2 linked regions of the Drosophila melanogaster genome follow. The protein of the gene in region 1 binds, or shares a complex with, the protein of each later gene. Each region holds a gene or a part of one and is shown on either strand. Other genes may lie near its edges.

Evidence for each region. Proteins that work in one complex are often made in the same cells at the same time.
Region 2: msd1 (region 1) and dgt2 share a complex: the UniProt entries of both Drosophila melanogaster proteins name them as parts of the augmin complex.

What each region holds. Positions count from the first base shown.
Region 1 is NT_037436.4:1,329,989-1,332,932, forward strand, and holds msd1 (mitotic spindle density 1), read left to right. Parts: upstream 1-1,755; 5' UTR 1,756-1,793; coding exon 1,794-1,830; intron 1,831-1,885; coding exon 1,886-2,265; 3' UTR 2,266-2,338; downstream 2,339-2,944. Other genes in the region: ND-ACP (NADH dehydrogenase (ubiquinone) acyl carrier protein), read left to right, coding at 153-302, 875-961, 1,054-1,182, 1,292-1,471; msd5 (mitotic spindle density 5), read right to left, coding at 2,364-2,944. UniProt on the Drosophila melanogaster protein: As part of the augmin complex, plays a role in centrosome-independent generation of spindle microtubules.
Region 2 is NT_033779.5:11,987,873-11,991,572, forward strand, and holds dgt2 (dim gamma-tubulin 2), read left to right. Parts: upstream 1-2,063; 5' UTR 2,064-2,151; coding exon 2,152-2,383; intron 2,384-2,440; coding exon 2,441-2,904; 3' UTR 2,905-3,100; downstream 3,101-3,700. Other genes in the region: CG6686 (uncharacterized protein), read right to left, coding at 1-73; CG34163 (uncharacterized protein), read left to right, coding at 446-457, 512-763; zuc (zucchini), read right to left, coding at 1,191-1,952; escl, read left to right, coding at 3,101-3,399, 3,458-3,647. UniProt on the Drosophila melanogaster protein: As part of the augmin complex, plays a role in centrosome-independent generation of spindle microtubules.

The sequences.
Region 1 (2,944 bases):
CTGCTACCTTGCTGTCTTTTTCTTGCTCCAGCACTTTTACATAATCTTGAAAACTCAGCGTAAATATCGCCCAAAATACGAGACCTGCACTCGTGCACCGTCTGCAGAGATGCGATACTAACCCGCTGCGTTTCCGTTGCAGGAGAACCGAGATGTCGTTCACACAGATCGCGCGCAGCTGCAGTCGACTGGCGGCCACTTTGGCCCCAAGGAGGGTCGCCTCCGGCATTCTCATCCAATCACAGGCCTCCAGGATGATGCACAGGATCGCCGTGCCATCGATGACCAGCCAGTTGAGCCAAGTAAGCGAACGTCCAAAGCGGTCCCTTCCGTTGCAGGAGCCCCAATCGCAGTTGAGGACCTAACCTCATCGCAAACGGCGGGGTTTCGTGATCTACGAGTTTCAAAACATTCAATTAAGTGCTTGCAATCATGAACGCAACAGAAGATCCTCGCCATGTGGCCGTCGAACCACCCAATTCGATTGCATCACATTATTTTGCATAAAACATGATTGTTTCCCTATCGCACACACACACACATACACCTGCAACACCGGTGCTCGCACTTGTGTGCGGTTGATTGTACTACAGTGAAAATCCTCTAGAAGTGACCTTAAAATGTAGCGGTTTTAAAACATGTGATTTCAGTTTGTTAAATATCTAAATATGTTTCCACGCCAATCCAAGCAATAGTTTTCGCGGTATTTAATCAGTTGATCATACACCATCGAACCACCCTCGTTTAAATTGCGTATATATTTACACTGCTCATTGAAGAATTAGCTAAGTTGTATGCACCATAAGTCGTAGATGAACTACCAATGCAATTATTCATATAGAGACGAAAATTCACTAGACATTAACATTCGCAGAAGTTCGGTGTGCGCAGCTACTCGGCCAAGAGCACCATCGAGGACATCAAGTTCCGCGTGCTAAAGGTTGTCTCCGCCTACGACAAAGTGACCGCCGAAAAGGTAAAGTACCCATTGCATGGCGCCACTAATCCGGTCTTTGTTTCCTTCCTTTTTTTCTCGGGCCGGCCAAAAACCAGGAGTGCCGTGGTCGCTGGCAAACGCAATTGGTGCGCAGATACTCGGCGAAACCGCCGCTCTCGCTGAAGCTGATCAATGAGCGCGTCTTGCTTGTGCTCAAGCTCTACGACAAGATCGATCCCAGCAAGGTAAACGCCACATATTGCCTTTGCCAGTGCAATGGTCGCCTCAGAAATCAGAACTGAACAAAGCTGATGAAACCTTTGAATACCCAATGCTAATGGCTCGCATTTACAGCTCAACGTTGAGTCGCACTTCATCAACGACTTGGGACTGGATTCCTTGGACCACGTGGAGGTCATCATGGCCATGGAGGACGAGTTCGGTTTCGAGATCCCCGACTCTGATGCCGAGAAGCTGCTTAAACCTGCCGACATTATTAAGTACGTCGCCGACAAGGAGGATGTGTACGAGTAAATTGTAATTGTAATGCAAGCCATTGAACGGATTACACTTAAATTTAAATAGAAAACAAGTCAAATACAATTTGATCAACTGAATAAACCAAACGTTAAATTAACTTGTAGTCAGCAATTGTACACGAGGGCTATAATTAACTGCGGAATAGCAGCTAATAAATTAACTATCCAAATAAATAAACGAGTCATTTAGTACTGGCGGTTAAATTTAAATTTCGATAGAAACGTTGGTCTTTCGATTGTTTTAGAAAGCCTTGTGTATTTTAGATACGCAGCGACGGTCACGTTAATCTGCTAGCATTACAAACAGAATATTCGAAATGTCAGACGCTGTGGACAAAATGTTGGCGGGAATGGGTAAATATATCTTTAAACCACCGACACGCGTTCTATTCCGTGCTTCCAATTTCAGCGGCCAATCGGCAGACCATGAACCGCCAGCTGGCTAAGATAGACGAGATAATGGAGCGGTCGAACAACACATTGCTCCACATCGAGTCCAACAGCAAGGCATTCAGTCAGAATGTGGCTTTGTCGGAGACCCAGAAGATGTACAACCTCAGGCCGGAGGCTGAGATGACCCTGTCCAAGATCCTGGAGAACTTCAAGCTGCTCATGTCTAGCAGTGACCAGCGGGAGGAGACATACAGCGCTCTGGAGGGCTGCCTGGCCTACAGGCATCGCGTGGAGCACCTTGGCAGCTCCGTGCGTAAGCTGGTGGCGCTCTACGACACCGTGGGCCAGATGAAGAACTCACAGGAAGAGCAGTATGCCAGCGAGGATTCCCCCTAGCTCATCCATTTTTAGAATTTATTATTATGTTATAGTTGAAAAATAATTTAAATAAATTAAACATTTGATTTGTATTTAAAGCTCTTTAAGCGAGGTTTTCAAATCATGGCCATATTGTAGCTGCTGACTTGGAGAAGCGTATAGGTAAGCACCTCTACGAACATCTCCAGGCGAGCGGCAAGACTCCCGGTGGCGAGTATCTCATTGGGATTGGGCAGCTGGAGGCTGTTGGAGCGCAGGTAGTTGAGCTGTTCCATATTGGCGGCTATGGTCAGAAGCTTCTCCTGCTGCTCGGATGTAAAAGCATCTGGCGGAGACTCACCGCCGGTTGGCATGAGCTTTTCCAGCTGCTGCGCAAATCCATGGAGCTGCGTCAGCTTCTGCTTGTATATGGATTCTGTGGTGTCCAGAGCGGCTGCCTCGTCGTAGATCTTGGCCAGCTTTCGCTGGAAACCCTTAAAATCATTGTACACGTCCACGGCACTGCGCTGCTCCTCCAGACGCGTCAGACTCAGCGAAACGTTGGATGTGTTGATGCCCATGGCCACCGACTCGTCTGCTCCTCGCAGGAGCGTTGAGTTGGTACGTTGTAGCTCCCGCTTCTTGGGCATTTTCTGCAGGTTGGCCGGGTACTCTTCCAAGGTCTTGAAGAGCTCCGCATAGTCGGCTACCGAGCTAA
Region 2 (3,700 bases), on another chromosome or scaffold:
GCTCCGACGATCGCGAGCGATGACGGTTCTTCTTGTCCTTCTTGTGTTTCTTTCCCGACGACGAGGAACCCATATTTATTATTATTTTCACAACAAAATACAGAAAATTTCACAAGAAAAAGACGCCGGTGTGACCGCAGTTCGGGAAGCGGAAATATACCAGGTGTGCCACGGTAAAATTAAATGCCAATCACAGTGATGCGCGCACAAAGCCACCGAAATTGTTTAAGATATTAAAACTGAATGTAATTATTAAATTATCACGCAATGTAGTACTTCGGAACTTTTTATTTGTTAAAAGGACCTTTTTATTTAGAATTCGTTTTGTTAAAATTACCTTTTTGAATGACTAAACTTACACCGCCTACTCTTCTTCTTATTTTTTGTTTTGCCATTCACCACGAACTTAATAACAACTTAACACGCGGAGATCTCCACATAAACAATGGAAATTAAAGTACGTAAACAAATTATTTGCGACCTAAAACTTATTTCATTTTGATCCCCGTAGAAGTCCAAGAAATCAAAGAACGACAAGAAGTCCAAGGCGCCCAAGGAGTCGTCCGTTTCGCTCAAACTGAACGCTTTGCATCGCAAGCAAAAGGAAGTCGCCCGCGTGCTCACTTTAAAACAAGAAATATTACTGAAATCGGGTGTATCCTATCTGGAATATTATGAGATTCTGGCAGAAATCGAACGACTCAACGGCCTAAAGGAGTCATTTATGCGCCGCGCTGATAAGCTGAAGCAACAGGACAAATAGTTGATAAGTTGGTTTGGTTTAGAAACTATATAAGAGTAAAGAAATCTGTAGCAGTTATATTTCGGAATGTTTTGTACATACATACATGTAATCTTTTTTGTAATTAACTTTTATTTACTTAAAAGCTTTCAATAACATGATGAATAAAGTAGAAAGTTATATATATAGTCAAAGCTGATCATAACTAAATGCACGTTGAAAATTAGTCAACTCAATCGAAGTGATAAAGATTTCATACGGATTATACTGTTAGGTATACATTTTGATTACTTTTGTTTTGCTTAATTAATTTGGCACTCCTTTGTGTGTGAAGATCAAGCTGCCTTAAAAAGTTTTAGTTTAATTGAAGGCACTTAGAAAATAAGAACTATAATTATTTGGCATACTGAGGAACTGTTTGGTAGTCATACATTAAATCAATTGATTTCTACTTGAGCTGGATTTGGCTCCCCTCGGTCTTCGCAAAAGCCCGCCACATTCGTTGGAATTCCGCCTGAAACGTGGCTGTGAGTTTGTCGTCAGCTGTGATAATGCAGTTCTCCCAATTGCCTCCCAGTCCAAGAGCCGTCCAGTTTACGGAGCCGCTGATCACGATGCTATAGCACGGACGCATAAACTTGAGCTTCCTCAGCAGACGAATCTCCTCGACGCGCTCGAAGCCGTCGATTATGCAGAATTTGTTGTGCATCAAGTTCGTGGTAATGGGGACGCGAACTGGAACTCCCAATTGTGCCAGCATACTGATCTGAGAACCTTTGGAGTAGACCATCTCCCCGTCGCTGATGATCCGGATAATCACGCCGCGCTGCAGGGCCCGCTTTATTGAATCCGCCAAAAAAAGCGAGGTGAAGGTGTATATGGCCAGGTCAATGGAGTATACAGCCCGATCGATCTGCTCTACGATCTTGGCCACATTCCGCAGCGAACAATGCGTGTTGCAGCAGGGCGACACTTGTGGTTTCTGGGATCCCATGCTGCTGTTGCGCATATGCACCGCCGCACAGATCTCGCCCAGTTCATTGAAGATGATCACTTCGTGCACGCGGCTTGCCTTCTCTCGCTTGCTGCGCGAGCACTGCACCAGCTTCCAAATCACCTCTGAGGCCAGGACAGTGCTGACGGCAATGCTTATTGTGGACACAATGGGATAGTCTCGAATTTGTTTCATAATTATTTGGGTAATCAACATTTTTGAATTTAGCTCGTTTCTCTAGCGCGCTTTAAATAATAATCTTGGGGTGACCATTATAAAATATAAGTAAAATATATTATCGTTAGTAGCTACCGGTCACACTGTTGCTCAGTAGCGTTGCCGTATCGCAGCCATGCGCTTGCCCATTCGAATCAAACAATCAATTTCGGGTCAATTTAAGCATTTTACCACCTAAATGGATGATCCATCCGCCACGCTCTTGCCCGAACACTCGGAAGATTTGCGGCTGGCTCGCGATGCGGAGCTGAAGAAGGTGCTCAAGCTGAAGCTAGTGCTGGACGAGCTAAGACGCCTGGATGTGGGCCCAAATCCGAGTGATGAAATCAAAAGAGCCCTCAAATTGGTTTCCATTGGAAGTTATGCGCGACTCGGCGAGATGGAGGGAGCTGGTCAGGAGCAGGTGCTTGGTAGGCGCGTTACAAGTTTATTCCAAAAGCAGTGAATAACCATTGGAAATCTAACAGGTCTACCGAGCGGCAGCAGTTTTCCGCCCTTGAATTACACGGATCGCAAGACGGTGCGTACCAAATTGTCCGCTCAATTACGCACAACTCTGCAACCCATTGCCGAATTGTGCGACAGGATACGCGAGGAGTTCCCGGACGCCTTTGGCCAGGAGGCGGACTTAAGCTGCGACCAAAAGGAGATTCTGCGCCTGGAGGAGGAGCATCGCAGCGGTCTGGAGAAATTGGTTGCGCTTCTCACTCGTAAGTGCACGCTTCTCAAGGAGACCGCCGAATTGAAATTGGGGCCGCAGTTGGCAAACGAACTAAAATTGCAACAGGCGCAGGCGCAACTTGTTCAAACAAAAGCAGAACTACTGCGCGGATTTTTCGTCCACGAGGCCGCCTCTCGCACCGAACATAGCGTCAAGGCACATAAGGAGGTGGAGGCGCACCTGGACGAGCTGCTCGCCGCCAAGAAGTAGATTTAAGCAAACTAGTATTATGTAAATTAGATTTTTAAATACATTATAATTGTGATTTAAACAGGGTTGTTCGTTTAGGTCTTTTCGCTCTAGAATGGCAACACTGTTTTGCACTGCAGTATTTGCAGACGGTCACTCTAGGGATAAACAATTTGTAAACAAAAGAAGCTTTTAAGTTTGCCGGAATAAAACAGATATGACCGAAACGAATCCCAGTGAAATATCTCCTCCGAGCGAAGAGCCACCGGCAGAGGACGAATCCACTGACCACTCTCCAGCGGAGGCAGTGCTGAGCAATAATTCCTCGAGTGTCTGCAATGTTGTGGAGCCGGATGATGAGCACGAAGTTAATTCCGTGGATCGGGAGGACACCGCCAGTTTGTTCAGCACTACTACGACCACCACCAGAAGCAAATCGCCAAATACACGAAAATTGAACCGCCTGTGTCGGCGGATCAAGGCACCCAAAATGGTTCAGCCCTTGTACAAATATAGGTGTGATTTTTCCAGGCAGAACATAAGTCATAATGTTTATATCCCGGATGCATTGCAGCTCCCATGTCCGCGAGGACCACAACCATCAGATCTTCGGAGTGCAGTTCAATCCGTTCCTGGACAGAGGCCAGCCGCAGGTGTTCGCCACCGTTGGCAAGGATCGGGTTTCCATTTATGAGTGCGAGAGGAGCACCGGACAGGAGTCCTGCGAAGGCATTCGACTGCTGCAAGTCTACGCAGACCCAGATGTAAGTACTCATCATATGCTATTACTTACATACATCATCGTTACGCCCTCGTT